2 linked regions of the Caenorhabditis elegans genome follow. The protein of the gene in region 1 purifies or fractionates together with the protein of each later gene. This does not show direct contact. Each region holds a gene or a part of one and is shown on either strand. Other genes may lie near its edges.

Region 1 (9,838 bases):
AGAAAGTGGTCAAATAAGTTACGTCAATGACTTTTTTCTAGTTTCAAGATGCATACAAAATAGTTAGGTAAATATCGAAAACGTTTAAACACATAATAAATTTTAAAAGTGTAATCACAACCATCACCATTTTCAGAGCTATTAATTGCATGATGATGGGGTCCGTTGCTGTGATGCATTCATCTCATAACTTCCCAGAGTTCGTGAAAGCGAAAACTGCCGCTGGAATGCTATTTAAGTTGATCTATCGAAAATCAAAAACCGGAGACGTGATGGAAGGAAATAATACTGAAATTCGTGGGAATGTTCTTTTTGAGTCGGTCAAATTTTCATACCCACAACGACCAATGCAACCTGTTATGACGGACCTTCATTTTTCGGCCCACAGTGGCCAAACTGTTGCCTTAGTTGGCCCATCAGGCACTGGAAAAAGTACTTGTATTGCCATGCTTGAACGATTTTATGATGTTTCCGGTGGAGCACTGAGAATCGATGGACAGAATATCAAATCACTCTCCCTTCACCATCTTCGAACACAAATGGCATTAGTTGGCCAGGAGCCCCGTTTGTTTGCAGGAACTATTAAAGAAAACGTGTGTTTTGGGCTAAAAGATGTAAGTTTCAGCATCGATAATTCCTCATAGTATGCTTTTTTTCCAGGTCTCTGTTGAAAAAGTCCATCAAGCTTTGGAACTCGCAAATGCTTCCCGGTTCCTTGCAAACTTGCCAGCAGGCATTGATACAGAAGTTGGAGAGAAAGGAGGACAATTGTCGGGAGGACAAAAGCAGAGAATCGCAATTGCCAGAGCATTGGTCAGAGATCCTAAGATTTTGCTGCTAGATGAAGCCACTTCCGCATTGGATTCGGAATCTGAAAGGGTGAGGGGGAAAAATTAAGGCAAACGTTTAGCCGGAAAACAGACAACAATTCTACTTTTCCTTGGTTTGAAAAGCATACCATTTAAAAAGCCGATTTTAAATAATAGAAACACTGTTTTGAAAAATGAAAAAAAATTTGAAAATTTGTTTTCCAGGCCGTACAAGAAGCGCTGGATCGTGCTCGTGAAGGTCGTACTTGCATCACAATTGCCCATCGCTTGTCGTCTATTCAGAACTCCGACCTCATTGTTTACATTGATCATGGCATGGTACAAGAAGCTGGAAACCATGCTCACCTTATGTCACTGAGAGGAAAATACTACAATCTTATCAAAAAGCAAGATCTTACCACGTGATATTAATTACGTTGATAGACGTTGTTGCTTTTTGTGCGGGTTTTGTTATTTTTTTAAATCAGTTTTATATATACTTTCTGATGTTATACACATATTTAATCGAAATCACAAATAATAAATGTTCAATATAATTCCAATTTCCACTTGTGACCATATATTATGAAAGAAATCCGAGAGGTCTGAAAATACTATTCTGTAAATAAAATGAATAAATAATAACGTAACACTACGCTACAACTCACTCGGCATGGAAAACAACTTTTTGAAGCTGCTGTTCTTCAAAATACCAAGATAACTAACGTAAATGGAGACAATAATCGTTAGTTTCATTATATTTTATCTGTTTTGTTTTCTTCACAGCTAGTTACGGTACAGTGAGGAAGCAAACTTATTCATAAATCTGAAAAAAACAGGTAGAGGGAATAAAGTAAAGTAACTCTGTAATTCGGATAAATTTCTGAAACTCAGAATTCAAGTCAGCTGTGTCATTTCTTTCAAAATTTCGTTCCAATAGTTTTGTGCTAGTACTCAAAAATTTGATGAACGCTGAAAATGTTTTTAAAAGTTCTATGGGTTAATCAAATGATTTTTACAAAAGAGTCAAGCCAATGCAATTTTATATCTTGAAGTTTATATCCCATTTAAAAATGAGATCAGATGCATTGAACAATTCTTGTTCATTCCTGTTCCGAACCTTGTAAAATCAAAGTTTGCAGTTTGTTTTTTTGATGATTTGCAAAACATTTTTAGACAGATGCGAACACTAGTATTTGTGCTAACATCATTTGAATAGATTTACATGCAATTGTTGCCAGTTCTGTAGAAAACTGTGCTGAAAGTTTGTTTGTAAACTTTCTAAAACTTGTTAATTAGAGTTGTCCCAAAGAGATAAAAATAACAACAAAAAAATTAATTTGAAGAAGTGTTATATTTGTTTTCCAATCGCTCACTAGAGTTTGTGCCAAATGTTTAGTTTTAGAAGCTTATATCCTGAAAAATCGGGTATCGAGATTTAAAAAAAGGTATGTAAATTATAGGCGATGGTGATGCCGTTTTTAAATGTGGAGATGCACAATGAGGGTAAGTGGCTGTTTCAGAGAACTTTTAAGGGATTGTAAGACATTTTGAACACCTGAAATGTCGCTTGATTTTTTGTAGTGTCACATTGTTTATCCAACAAATTATCAGAAATGCTGGACATCGACACAAAAAATTGCACAATCACTAGTAAAAATTATAACTAGACACTTTTTCAGTGTCATTAATTTCTGTAGTTACCCTCTTACATCACGCCAAAATTATGTTTTGTTTTAAACTGATCGTTACACAAGAGAACCAAAAAAACAGTTTATGCGTTTTCAGAATGTTGTGAAAAGTTACCTCAGAACTTAGGCGCCGCCTTTTCAAACCGTAGTTTGTACGATGTAAGACGGAATACTCTGCTCTCTCCTCGTTTCTTCACGTGACTGTTTGAACTGTTGCTCTCGACCCACACAAAACACGCTTTTTGATTTTATGTGTATAGCTGGAAAACACGAAAGAGTGAATAAATAGTTTCCTGTATGTTTTTTCCGTGTACTTAAATAGTTGGATGGCAATGGAAGAGAGTTCATTTTGTGCTCATTTTTTGTTTCCTACTGCTGATTATTATTTCGAGCGCTATTATCACAATTGTATAAAACGAACCGCTGATGCCACCACAAGAAAACACGGATGGTTCTGGAAAGAATCTATCTAGTTTGAGAACGGTAGGAATCATTTCTTAAAGTTACGTTTTTCCATGATCCTCTAAGATGTTGGGAAATTGAAAACTATTTGCTCTTTATAAAGATATTTGAAAATACAACACAATCAAATATGATTTTTGTGTTGTATTTTCAAAATAGTATACAATTGGAACAAAAATAAAACTGAATTGATTATTTGTGAGAGTATTTAAAAAAAGTTTCAATTTTCTGAAATTACATTCCTTTTTTTTCAGAAAATTGATTTCGATGAGAAAATATCTGCTACGAGCTTCTCCGATTCATCATACAACGATGACGACAATGATAAGAAAGTGGAATACTATCCATCTGTATTTGAAAAATTCGTTAACTTTTTACTCTGCAGGTATTTTTTTTGATTTACCTAAAAATGTTTTAAAATTGATAATTGCAGGTGTGACCTTTCTGAACAAGTATTGGAATTCCAACCAGTTTCGCTACTGCAATTGGTAATTTTTTTAAATGTATTTTTATATTTTTATCAAGTTGAAAAAAACAATGTTAATGTTTTAAATTTTTGATTTAAGTTCCGCTTTGCCACGACGTTTGACTACATACTTCTATTGATTGGACTAATCACTTCAGTCATTTCTGGTGTCTCTCAACCAGTTCTTGCAATTATCTCGTAAGTTGTTGCAGTTTTTGAAGTTTTCCTGTATTCCGAATTTTAGGGGTCGAATGACAAATGTGTTGCTAGTCATTGATCCTTTGAGTAAAGAATTTAAAACCAAAACGATGGAAAATGTATACATCTTCTTAGGACTTGGAATCTTCGTTTCAATTAATGACTTTTGCCAGGTAGGAAATTCATTATAACAGGGTTAACTTTTTTCACCTGACCAAATTTCAGTATATGTGTTTTCAAAGAGTTTGCAGTCGTATGATGACTGTAATGAGAAATCGCTATATCTCCTCGATTTTAAGACAAAATGCAGGGTGGTTTGATAAAAACCTATCCGGAACAATCACGACGAGACTCAACGAGTAAGTCAATTTTTACTGTATGTAATAATTTCAATTTATGTTTAAGTAATATGGAACGGATTCAAGATGGTGTTGGTGATAAACTTGGTGTTCTGATTAGAGGGATCTCAATGGTTATTGCATCAGTCGTTATTTCTTTGATTTATGAATGGAGACTTGCTCTTATGATGTTAGGTCTGATTCCCGTCTCCACAATCTGCATGACACTTTTATCAAGGGTATGTTCATTTTTATCACCTTGTTTCACACCAAACTATCTCAAACCCTCAATTTGAAAATAACAATTAAAGTTTTATAGTTCTTGGAAAAGAGCACTGGGGAGGAATTGGAGAAAGTTGGTGAAGCCGGAGCAATTGCAGAAGAATGTTTGATGGGTGTACGAACTATTCAGGCATTTAATGGTCAAGAAGAAATGGTTGCAAAATACGAGAAACAATTGAATTCTGGAAAGAAGCATGCAATTTGGGGAGGATTTTGGAGTGGATTTTTCGGAGGCATTTTCTTCTTCTGGTTGATGGCTTTCATGGGATGTGGAATTCTATATGGAGGTTACCTACTCAAAGTCGGAATCATCAAGTCTCCTGGTGATGTATTCATTATTGTGGTGGCCATGTTACTCGGAGCCTATTTTCTTGGATTAATATCTCCCCATTTGATGGTTTTGCTTAACGCTAGAGTTGCAGCTGCATCTATATATAAAACTATTGACCGAGTCCCAAAAATTGATCCATACTCAAGGCATGGAAAGAAAATTGAGAAGGTTGTTGGTAAGGTGACATTTGAAAATGTGCACTTTAGATATCCAACGAGAAAAGAAGCGAAGGTTCTCAATGGTCTCAACTTGACAGTTGAACCAGGAACGTCTGTAGCTTTGGTTGGCCACTCGGGATGTGGAAAATCTACTTCCGTTGGTCTTTTGACCAGACTATACGAACCCGAACAAGGCAGCGTACAAATCGATGGAGTTGACGTCAGGGACTTAAATTTGGAGTGGCTTCGGAATGTTGTGGGTATTGTGCAGCAGGAGCCTATTCTTTTCAACGATACTATTCACAACAACTTGCTTTTTGGAAATCCAGATGCCACTCGTGAGACAATGATTCGAGTTTGTAAAATGGCAAATGCGCATGACTTCATCAAAAAAATGCCAAAAGGATACGACACACAAATTGGTGATGGAGGCGTTCAACTTTCTGGAGGACAAAAGCAACGTGTTGCTATTGCCAGAACTCTTATTCGTGACCCGAAAGTGCTCCTACTAGATGAAGCAACGTCTGCACTCGATGCTCAAAGTGAGAGTGTTGTTCAGTCAGCACTAAACAATGCATCCAAAGGAAGAACAACTATTATGATAGCTCATCGACTATCAACAATTCGTGAAGCTGATAAAATTGTATTTTTCGAAAAAGGAGTCATTGTTGAAGCTGGAAATCATGAAGAGTTAGTGAATCTTGGAGGAAGGTATTTTGACCTCGTGAAAGCCCAAGCCTTCAAGCAAGATCCGGACGAGATTGCTTTGGAAAAAGAAGAAGAAGATCAATTTGATGAGTTAGTTGAAAAATAGAACTTTGAAAATCAAAAGCTAAATCATTTCAGATTTGATAAGCCAACTGTGTTCAACAGGAAAGTTTCGGTTAGAAATTCAAGAAGTTCTGGACGCTCGGGGTCCGAAGAGTTTCGTCGAGGATCTCTTGCCAACCATTCGTTTGATAGATTTCGAAAGGCATCTCATATACCGTCGGCAGAAGATGAAGCATTTGCTTTGCGAGTCAAAGAGACCATGGAAAAAGACGGAGAAATCACTGCTGGATTCTTGGATATTTTCAAAAATGCTCAAGGTAGTGAGACAACTATTATTAAAGTTCGAATTAAAGCACTTCAAAACGGAAAATTTGCATTATATTTTTGCATTATATGTCTGATCAAACAATTTTTAAAATTTTCAATTAAAATAACATCTTTGAAATCTTGAATTAAAACTATTAAATCTCAAATACTTACAATCCTATACATATTTTCAGGAAACTACACTTACATGCTAATTGGCCTATCAGCTGCTTTGATCAGAGGGCTCGATCTTCCTACCTTTGCATTGCTGTTTGCTTGGGTTTTTGAAGGATTTGAATTTGTTCCCTACGGCGGAAAAATGATGCATCGATTAGCAATGTCTGTAATAGCTCATTGTGCAGCCGGATTGGGTATCTGGTTTTTCCAAACGCTTAGTGTAAGTCTAACTCGAAAAATATAAACATTCAAAATTACAAATGGATTTCAGACTGTTATGTTTGCAATTGTCTCGGAAAACTTAGGAGTACGGTTCCGGGTTGCTGCTTTTCGAAATCTTCTTTATCAGGATGCAGCATATTTTGACAATCCGGCGCACGCTCCTGGAAGTCTTATCACAAGATTAGCAGCAGATCCTCCTTGTGTAAAAGCTGTTGTAGACGGTAGAATGATGCAAGTTGTTTACGCAACTGCCGCTGTCATTGCTTGCGTGACAATTGGATTTATCAATTGTTGGCAAGTTGCGATTCTTGGAACCGCTCTAATTTTCTTGTTGGGATTCATTATGGCTGGATTGGCATTCAAAATTTCAATCGTAGCTGCTGAGCATATGGAGAACGATGACGCAGGAAAGGTACTTGCCAAGAAAATATAGTTATTCTAAAAATATTTTTTAATTGATTTCTATTTTCAGATTGCCATTGAAATTATTGAAAATGTGAAAACTATCCAACTATTAACACGGACAAGAAGATTCTTAAACAGCTACGAAAACGAATCAAAAAAGCGAAAACGGACTGAACTCCGAAAGTCTGTATACGAAGCTGTCAACTACTGCATTTCTCAAAATTTTATGTACTACATGTCTTGCTTCTGTTTTGCATTAGCAATCAGAATCATCAATCAAGGAGATCAAACAGTTGATAAGACGTTCAGGTTAGTCACTTTCTCTAAGAATTTAAACATTATTTGTACCTAGATGTCTCATGGCGATGATGCTGTGTTGCGAGGGAATTATCATGTCTGCTCAATTCTTCCCGCAATTTGTTGGTGCCAAGTCTGCAGCAGGACAGATGTTTAACTTGATTAACCGGCAACCTCAGACAGGAGATCTCAAGAGCGGTACCAAACCAGAAATTCGCGGAAATATATTATTCGAAAACGTCAAGTTTTCGTATCCACAAAGACCACATCAGCCAGTTATGAAACAACTGCAATGGACTGCTCTACGTGGACAAACTGTAGCTCTAGTTGGCCCATCGGGCTCAGGCAAAAGCACATGCATTGGAATGCTCGAAAGATTTTACGACGTCACGGGTGGTGCATTAAGAATGGATGGGCAAGACATAAAGAACATCAGTTTGTACCATCTTAGAACTCAAATGGCGTTAGTTGGACAAGAACCCAGACTATTTGTGGGAACGATAAGAGAAAATGTGTGTCTTGGACTGAAAGACGTGCCACTTGAGAAAATAAATCAGGCGCTAGAGCTAGCAAACGCAAACCGTTTTCTTGGCAACTTACCCGATGGCATAGACACCGAAGTTGGAGAAAGAGGTGGCCAACTATCTGGAGGTCAGAAGCAAAGAATTGCGATTGCTAGAGCTTTAGTCAGAGACCCGAAAATTTTGCTTCTCGATGAAGCCACATCGGCTTTGGATTCAGAATCAGAAAGGGTAAGTTTTTTACAAGGCTTTTGAGATGTAGTGTTATGGATACAGATAATGAACATGATTTGTTTTTTCAGGCTGTGCAAGAAGCATTGGATCGTGCCCGAGAAGGGCGTACCTGCATTACAATTGCTCACCGCCTCTCATCTATTCAAAATTCCGATTTGATTGTGTATATTGATGATGGCCGAGTTCAAGAATCTGGTACTCACAAAGAACTGATGCAGTTGAAAGGAAAATATTTTGAATTGATTAAAAAACAAGATCTTGCAATATAAGTTTAATTTCAAAATCTGTTTTATTTGTATCCTTGTTAATGAGATTATGCCTCTGCGGGTAGATGACCAAATTGAGATTATTGTTGAGATTTTAATAAAACCTTTCTTTTAACACTTCAATTCAAAATTTGCAATTTAAAAATACAGAAATCACTATGAAATTAAGTGATAGTTTGTGAGTTTAAGGACTAACGGTTCGGACGATTTTGAACACATAGACCCAAAATGAGCTCAAATGAGCGTTTTTTTTTTCGTAATGAAGCTTCTCAAAAATTTTTCATGACGGGTCAAAATTTTGAAAAAATTATACCGATTTTAGCTGAAATCTCGAATTTTGCCTAATTTTCTAGATCGCATTTGTTGACTTTTTTGTACCACCCTGCGAGGACACTTCTCTTTGCGCCTTTCAGCATGAGAAGTGGGTTGACACTGCCAACTTGGCAGCCGATGTCGAAAAATACAGAAAATGTGTCGAAAAATGTAGAAAAATAGAAAAATCGATGTATTTTTTACATTTTTCTACAGACATGACTAGGGGAAAATGTATTAAAATACATTTTTGTAAATTTCAACATCACATATTACGGGACCATGAAAAGTAGGCATTCTCATGATCTCATGGTCCCGTAATAAACAACCCCATAAGTGTGTGTGTGTGGGAGCTAATTGCGCCAACTGTAATTTTCTTCTGTTGTAAATAACACAGTGCACTTTCAATTCTTACATTTTTTTATTCGAAAATTGAAAAAGCGACTAGCTAATGAGTACCTACTGAAAATAAAAGTAGCAATGTGAACAGACCCGGTTAATAGAAAAACTGCTTCAAAACAACGTGGGAACAGTTTTCTAAATGACGGAAAAATTTTTTGAGAAATGTGAAAACAAAGCAATGAAAAGTCACAATAAAAACAGTTTCAAAGGGAACAAGTAATTACTGGTAAGAGTGTGGAAGTGATCAAAATTTACAGGATAATTCGGAATTGAAAGGCAATTTGCAGAGTTAAACAGCAAGATCTTGTTTCTTGATGAGCTTGTAGTATCTGCCCTTTTGATGCATCAACTGCGTGTGGTTGCCAGCTTCCTGCACCTTGCCCTTATCGATGTACACAATAAGGTCAGAGTTCTGAATGGACGACAAACGATGGGCAATTGTGATACACGTACGACCTTCTCGGGCACGATCTAATGCCTCTTGTACAGCCTGAAAGAAAACGATCATAATTATTAAGAGATAGCGTTTCATTTTCAACATACCCTTTCGGATTCCGAATCCAAAGCTGACGTGGCTTCATCCAGAAGCAGAATTTTGGGGTCTCGGACCAAAGCTCTGGCAATTGCAATTCTCTGTTTCTGACCTCCCGACAATTGTCCTCCTTTTTCTCCTACATCTGTGTCAATTCCGGCTGGCAAGTTGGCAAGGAATCTGTTAGCATTGGCAAGTTCTAAGGCTTGATTGATCTTTTCAAGTGGCACATCCTTCAACCCAAGGCACACGTTCTCGCGGATGGTTCCTGCGAAAAGACGAGGCTCTTGGCCGACCAGCGCCATTTGTGTTCTGAGATGGAACAGTGACAATTTTCGAATGTCTTGTCCATCAATTCGAAGTGCTCCGCCAGTAACATCGTAGAATCGTTCGAGCATACCAATGTTCGTACTTTTACCGGATCCGGATGGCCCGACAAGAGCAACAGTTTGTCCGCGAAGTGCTGTCCATTGAAGTCCTTTCATAATTGGTTGCAATGGTCGTTGTGGATACGAGAATTTGACATTTTCAAAGAGAATGTTTCCTCTAATTTCAGGGCGATCTCCTTCCATTAAGTCTCCTGTTCTAGGTTTTCTGTAGATAATGTTGAACAACATTCCAGCTGCAGTTTTAGCCTTTACAAATTCTGGGAAGTATT
Region 2 (7,833 bases), on another chromosome or scaffold:
TCCAACGTCATATTCATCTACAAAAAATGCAAGAAAAACTACTCCATGAACAGTATGAAGCTTCCATGCGAATTCCAATCACCCGATACATCGAACAAGAAGAGGAAGTTCAGGAAGAACAACTCGAAGTTGAGCATCATCATGTCATGGAAAATCATCACCAAGTGTACGAGGAAGTAGAGGAAGAAGTGGTTCCGCAAAATCCCCGTCGGCACATTCGTCACCAGTAGAAGCTTACATGTTTCTTTATTGTTTGACAATATCTTAATAACTAAACTCACATACGATCTTTTTCCTTAATTATATCTGAAATTTTGTGACAGTTTTGTAATGAATCCTAAAAAGATTAAAACATGAAGTCATCCTTATCACAGAAGTTCAACTCAAAAAAGGATGTTATCTTTCTAAAAGTTTTAAAGGAATTTATTTCATTCATTACTGCTGTGAACAGGATCGTCTCGTTGATATTAGCATTACGTGAACTTTTCCTCAACACATCAATATGAAATCGATGCGTAAAAAATTGAACTTAATGTTTTTTTGAATTATTCCTAACTCGTATCGAGCTAGTCTACACTATTCTCTAACAAAAACTTCTGTTTGGACTTGGCTTTGCTTTATTTTCGTTAAGGATACTCAATTTCGACAACACGAGAGATACAACGGTACTAGTTTGAAAACTTGAAGATTTGTTTCACTTACTGGCAAGGCAAGCTATTATGTATACAAAAGGGTTAGTCTGATTGTTTAAAAAGGTTTTTCTATCAAAGAAAGTGAAAAGAAAAGATTTGAAACAAAAATTCGATAAAACAGATCGAATTATATTGGAGTTACGGTTCACAAACCGTACCCCTGTGCATTTTATCGTGAACGTGTTTACGGACCACTTTTGCCGCCAATAATTTTCAGACACTTTTTTTGCAAAAACAATTCATTTTCGTCTTAATTTGACGGTTTTTCTTTATTTTCGGCTTCCGTTTTTGAGTTTTCTGCATAATTAACGTTTTTAAAGGTGTTTTACTGATGCAAATACTCTCGAATCTCTGAAATTTCTAGTGGGTTCAAATTTTAGGATCTCCTTTGTTATAACATATTATAATATATTCTGGCGTCGTAACATTTTTCTTCAGTCTTTAAACGTTCAGAAATAATTCTAAAATTGAATCAAGAATGTTTTTGTTATTTATGTTGACTTTTCCTCTTCCAAAAATCACGCCATGCACTGACTCACTCTTTCACAATTCCATCGGTCGTCTAGTAAACGTGTAAAACGAACATATGATTGCGAAACACTATTTCTGTTTTCCGTGGGTCTCCCTCTTTCCATGCCTAGCAGAATTCAAATTACGCGGGCAATGTGGCCTGTGTTGTCTGCGTTTTCTAATGTGCATCTTCACGAATCATGCTTTCAAATTCATTTTGTGCTCTTTCTTTGTACGATGCTCCGTCATTTTGTGCTCTTTTATCAATAACATAATCAAGTGTTAAGAAGATGAACTGATTAAGTGAAAGTTGTATGACGACTGTAGACAAACCCGTCGTTTACGTTGCAGAAATGAGTTATTTTACTTGTCGAAATGATTCTGAATTCAGTTTTACATAACCGAGTTCAACACGTTGTTGATGAGATATTATTTACTCTACTTTTTGTATGATATTACCCCATTTCAATCAATACACTGTCCTAATCCCTCCACCAAGAGTACCCTGTCACCCAATACGCAACCACAGGGTTTCAGTCGCGTATCTCCTCGGTGGCGTGTAATTAGATTTAAAACGGCTGACGAATATCTTGACAATATGAATAATTCTAGTATTTCTCTAACTGTTTCCATTTAGATTGAATGTCCAACTATTATAGATGATTTTCTAGGAAAACCGCGTTCTCAAAATTTAATTTCCTTTTTCTACAGCCCATCCTTATGATTCATCACAAAAAATAGTTTTCCCAGACGTTCATTTTAACATTTTCTCGCTGTTGTTTTTTTTCTGATTTAGGCAAGCATTTCTGAAAATAAGGCTTACTTAACATTTAAATGTATAAACTTATGTAACTCGAATGTAACAATTATTCTTAAAGCTTGTTGGTCCTCTTGAGGTCAAAAGTGGTGCCATATCCGAATCTCGCGCCATGTTCTGAGTTGCTTTCTCTGTTTTGTCTCTACTCGTGTGCGCAGAAAGACCTCCGCTTCCAACTCAGCGTTCATCTATGCATTCCTAGCATTGTCTGCGTCTCACGACTGCGCGGAATAGATGGGGAGTGAGGGGAGCCGCTCCTATGTTTAAAAAAACTGAGAGAACAGAGTGGAAGAAGAGGGAGGAAGAGGAAAAGAATACGGGCGTGTGCAGTTTTCCTCCTCTTTCTCTTTTCCTGTGAAGAACTGCGATGTTGCCACGCAGAATGTAGAAGGAGACGTCATTTGTTTCGGACAGTTCTTTTTTCCATTCGAAATTTTTACGGTGAAAATTGTGAACACGATACATCTTCCGCATGTTCTTAATTGTTACCGCGAACGACATTTCACTGATTTGATAACGCAAAACACCTGATAATGATATTATTTTTACTGATGCTGATAAGACGAGGAATTGTTTTCGTCCAGAGATTGAAGGCTGTTAACTTTACAACAATAACTGTCTAAGACTTTTTTTTTTAATTTTAACATTTTACAATAATCAAACTACGATTTAAAACTCGTGGTGACTTTTCATGCCGGAATTATTTTGAGGTTTTTTCCTTATCAGCACGATTTTCCGTTTTCCCTTTTTTCTGCTTTTGCAGTCCGAAACGAAACACCTCCAACTTTATAAAAATGATGCTATCAAGAGTTCCGTCAAAGACATAATGTAGTTTCCTCTTTTTCATCGGCAGCTAACCATAATAATGTTTAAAAAGAACGTCGCAAAAACTGCAACAATTATTGGACTTTTTGATGTAAGACAAATAGGCTGCACTCTGAACGGGAGAAGATGAGAAAAAAAATTGTCAAATATTTGCACAGAAATATATTTTCCCTTCTTGCATTATTCTCGCAATTCTCGTAATTTTTTGTCTAGCAATTTTGCTCATCGTGAATTAAAAATTGTTCTTTATGTTCCCAAAACTGTAGAAATGCTGCTTCTGTATACATATCATATTATATACATTCTCTATTCCATGCGTCACGGTCTTGTACATTCTTCCCATTTTTCTTTAGAATAATCTCTTCTAATTTTCGTTATTTACAGATGAAACGGAAAGTTTCGGTATACGATTCTTCAAAGGATAAGACACTCGGCCAGGTTCGTGTTTTTGTTTAGGACATTTTACGATTTTTTGTTTGAAAGTTTCCAACAAGTTCTATTTTCAGGTAGTGAAAGGTGAATCACCAATATGGATTCGTGTAGCTATGGCCATCCTTCGTGTGTGGTTTTTCATATACGATTGTCTCAACTACTTGCCATACCAGTTGTTCAATTCGCCAACGGAAAAGCTTCGGAAGTCGGAGCGAGTAAAGGTTTGTCAATACTTTTAATATTAATTTATCCGTATTATCTGTTTCAGGCAAATTGGGTTGACGATCGTGATGGACCAATCCGTAATATTCAAGGACATGCTTCAGAAACATTCCCAGGAAAAGACACAGTTGATAAGGTAGGCAAGTGTGCAAAGATCTGCATTGCAGAATTCGATAAAAGCTGAAGTAGCACATTTCATGCTTTAAATTTTAGGTTTGGAGAAAGTGCGTCGAACTCTACGATGAATCGCCATGTTTGGGAACTCGACAGCTTATTGAAGTTCACGAAGATAAACAACCTGGAGGCCGTGTGTTTGAGAAGTGGCATCTTGGAGAGTATGTGTGGCAGAGCTACAAAGAAGTTGAAACTCAAGTCGCCCGCCTCGCAGCCGGTATCAAGGATCTTGCCCATGAAGAACAAAATCCGAAAGTTGTTATCTTTGCTGAAACTCGTGCAGATTGGCTCATCACTGCTCTTGCCTGTTTCCGTGCCAACGTCACCATCGTAACTGTATACGCAACTTTGGGAGAAGACGCAATTGCTCATGCCATCGGAGAGACTGAAGCTACAATTCTTGTCACTTCTTCGGAACTTCTTCCAAAGATTGTAACGCTTGGAAAGAAATGTCCAACTCTGAAGACCCTGATTTATTTCGCTCCTGTGGACCAGAAAGCACCAGCACCAGAGCTTGCACCGTTCCGTGATCAGTTCAAACATGTTCTATCACTGAGCGGACTTCTTACTCGCAATCAGGAACAAGTTAAAGAATCTACAGCTGTGAAGTCAGACATTGCCCTCATCATGTACACTTCTGGCACAACTGGTCAGCCAAAAGGAGTTATTCTTCTTCATCAAAACGTTGTGGCTGCTTTGTTGGGACAAGGGGATGGTGTTGGAATCATATGCAATGCAGATACATACATTGGGTATCTTCCACTTGCTCATATTCTCGAATTGGATGCCGAATTGACATGTTTGACTAAAGGAGCCAAGGTAAGAATTTTTATTGGATTTAAAACTCATTTTACCCATTTATTTTAAGGTTGGATATTCTTCACCCTTGACACTTCACGACCGTGCATCAAAAATCCAAAAGGGAACACATGGAGATTGTCATGCCCTCCGCCCAACTCTTATGGCTGCTGTTCCAGCTATTATGGATCGAATTTTCAAGGCCGTCTCCGAAGAAGTTGCTGCATCACCTCGTTTCATGCAAGAATTGTTCAAACTTAATTATGAGAGAAAGAGATCCCGCTATTTGGAGGGTTACTGCAGTCCATTCCTTGATCGCATCGTATTCAAAAAGATTCGCAGACTTTTGGGAGGAAAACTTCGTGGTGTTTTGTCTGGTGGAGCCCCATTGAACGCTGAAACTCAAAGATTCATGAATATTTGTATGTGCTGCCCTGTTGTTCAAGGATACGGACTCACAGAAACTTGTGGAGCTGCTTGTGTTGCTGATATCAACGACTTGAGCACAGGAACCGTTGGTCCCCCAGTCAGATGCTCAGATATTGCTCTTCGTGAGTGGTCCGAAGGTGGATACTCACCATTCAATGATCCACCACAAGGAGAGATTCTTATTTCTGGAGAAAACATCTCACCTGGATATTATAAACAACCAGAAAAGACCGCTGAAGATTTCATCACCTATAAAGGAAAAGTGTACTTTGCCACTGGAGATATTGGACAGAAGCGTGATGATGGTTCTCTTCTCATTATTGACAGAAAGAAGGATTTGGTTAAATTGCAACACGGAGAATATGTTTCTCTCGCTAAAGTTGAATGTGCACTTCTCAATTGCCCAATTGTTGATAACATCTGCGTTTATGGAAGTGGAATGGAAGACAGTGTTGTTGCTCTTGTGGTTCCAAACCAGAAGCACTTGGAGAAGATTGCTGAAGCGGAAGGTGTATCAACTAGTGAAATGAAGACGATGTGTGAAGATAAGAAGGTCATTGCTGCCTACAAGAAACAACTCGAAGAACATGCCAAGAAAAGTTAGTTTTGAGAAATTATGAACGTTCTAATGTTTAAAATAATTAAATTGTGGTTCCCTAAAAATGTATATTGTTTCAGGCAAACTTTCCCGCTCTGAAATCCCAGCCGCGATTCATCTTTGCCCCGAGATTTGGACTCCTGACACTGGCCTTCTTACCGAAGCACTCAAGCTGAAGAGAAAGCCTATCCAAATGGCCTACCAGAAGACCCTCGATGATCTGTATAAGCAGCTCAAAAAGAATTGATTCATGTCTTCCTAGCTTTCTTTTTTTCTTTTCCCGCCCTTTTCACACTGGTAACTTGCTCTTCCCCACCTATTCGAGATACTCGATATTGGATTCCCATCTCTTTTGTATACTTCCCTCATTTATAGCAGCATAATCTGTTAGCTTTCATACCGGAAGCTTTAGGTTTCATTCCTATTCTGTAAAGATTCGTGTTTCATGCTACTCTTTCCCGTATTCTCCTTCCCTTTCCACCATCAAAGAGCTTTTCTAACTTGTTTTTCACACATCGTACCTATTCGTAACTTATTCTTTCTAGAGCCCCTGATTCCTTTTCCCCAAACATCCAAACGCTTTATATTTTGGTCGCCCCTGAAAATTAGGTAGATTGTTTTCAAAAATGAAAATGCTGACAACATTTTTGTTTTTCAATGAAATCCATCGAGATTTCAAGGGTGTTAAGATAGATTTTCAATTTTTACAAATTCATTCGATCAATAGTTTGTTTTTGCCAAATGGGTTGTTCCTTTCACACCGACACAGAAATACACACATTTTCCCCCATCTTTTTCTATTTATCTCGTCCCTTCTCCCCAAAACATCTATTTGATTCCATCCTTGTATTGTCACACACAGATGTGAAATAAAAAAGATTGATAAATGATCTTCTGTACTGAATCTACACACTAGTCGTTGATCGACCATCTTTCAACGTCATTGGTTCGAAGATGAGCGATTCCTGTGACGCCTAGAACAAGAATAGACAAAACAAAGAAGAAATCTTCATTTGAAGATCAATATATCTTTTTTGGAACATATACAACACTTACTATTCTATCGAGATATTTTGGTGGATTATTGATTGATGATCCAATAAATTTATCAGCTGCAAGAGGGGCTCTAATGACAGTTTGTTTTGAAATTGATTTTTCATTTTAATTGGAATAAATCATGCAGGTTAATTTCAAACGGAAGAGTAATTTTATATTACTTGTGAGCTTTAAACTTACTTTTTCAGGCGAGAGTTTTCACGTAGAAGTAGAAAATTGAAGAAGCCTTGATTGACTGGAATTTTTAGTCCTCATCTTTCCTTTATCTTTTAAACTGAAAATTTGATAATTATTGTACACATTTTTAATGTTGGGATAAAACCTTTAAAAAATAAAGGTAATGTTATGATTGGTAAATGGTAAATGTTATGAAAATGCCGTCTTCTTCCTTAGTTTTTGAAATTTCCCTCTTCATAACATTCCATAATCAGTGACTGCAAATATCAAAACCCACAATTTTAGAAAAACAGAAAATTTATTTTTTGAATTTCAATAATTTCCGAAATCAAATCTTTCACGTATGCATAAAAGTGCTTGCCTGTGTGCCTCCAAGGCAGGCATAACTTTTTGTGGCGCATATTGACCAGACAATTCAGATTCTGTGCGGTTTCTGATAGTCACATTTCAAATTAGCACTCTTTCTTGATTGAATATAAGAGTTACAGAATCATTTGCAGCACGGAGAACAAAAGATATGAGCAAATCAACAACTGAACCAGATTCATCTGGCTTTGAACTTCTTTCTAATTGTACTACGGTAAGTAACCCACTGCAAATATCCTTGAAATTAAACTATACAAGCACAAATGATTTCATTTCATCCAGTATATCGAGTTGCTCAAATCTATCAATTTTTGGTTGCCTGTTTCGCATTTCCCCCATTGTTTTATTTCATATTTTTCAAACTTATCAAATCGAGTTTTCACGGAAATCTGAAAGTAAGCAAATAGGTTACTTGGAAAAATAAGTTAATTAATGAACTTCAGTGTGTGTTAATTGGTTATTTTGTGACAGTTCTGGCATTTACAATCAATTTTCAAATTGTTGGGGTGAGTTTTACTTAATTTAACAATTGCCATCAGACTAATTTGAATTTCCGAAACTTTCAGTTCGTTCAAGTTCTGCTTCCATTCATTTCAAGAACACCTTGTGATTTGATAATCAATGGAAGATATTTGAAATACGGTCATCCAACTGGGTCATTTATTATGACTTTGTCTACACTTTTACCGATTTGCATTACAATTGAACGGTTTTTCGCAATGAAAAACGCAGAAACT

The links. Proteins that work in one complex are often made in the same cells at the same time.
Region 2: the proteins of pgp-13 (region 1) and acs-4 fractionate together in Caenorhabditis elegans (co-fractionation; one large-scale study listed by BioGRID). This does not show direct contact.

What each region holds. Positions count from the first base shown.
Region 1 is NC_003284.9:12,736,070-12,745,907, forward strand, and holds pgp-13 (P-GlycoProtein related), read left to right. Parts: upstream 1-2,684; 5' UTR 2,685-2,926; coding exon 2,927-2,983; intron 2,984-3,216; coding exon 3,217-3,347; intron 3,348-3,395; coding exon 3,396-3,450; intron 3,451-3,528; coding exon 3,529-3,626; intron 3,627-3,672; coding exon 3,673-3,799; intron 3,800-3,851; coding exon 3,852-3,985; intron 3,986-4,031; coding exon 4,032-4,203; intron 4,204-4,283; coding exon 4,284-5,533; intron 5,534-5,581; coding exon 5,582-5,823; intron 5,824-6,006; coding exon 6,007-6,209; intron 6,210-6,260; coding exon 6,261-6,623; intron 6,624-6,683; coding exon 6,684-6,925; intron 6,926-6,968; coding exon 6,969-7,665; intron 7,666-7,736; coding exon 7,737-7,937; 3' UTR 7,938-8,042; downstream 8,043-9,838. Other genes in the region: pgp-12 (P-GlycoProtein related), read left to right, coding at 137-614, 661-879, 1,035-1,235; pgp-14 (P-glycoprotein 14), read right to left, coding at 8,938-9,138, 9,192-9,838.
Region 2 is NC_003281.10:7,164,610-7,172,442, forward strand, and holds acs-4 (long-chain-fatty-acid--CoA ligase), read left to right. Parts: upstream 1-3,228; coding exon 3,229-3,282; intron 3,283-3,350; coding exon 3,351-3,497; intron 3,498-3,544; coding exon 3,545-3,634; intron 3,635-3,711; coding exon 3,712-4,491; intron 4,492-4,540; coding exon 4,541-5,498; intron 5,499-5,577; coding exon 5,578-5,744; 3' UTR 5,745-6,381; downstream 6,382-7,833. Other genes in the region: K04G7.1 (Integrase zinc-binding domain-containing protein), read left to right, coding at 1-230.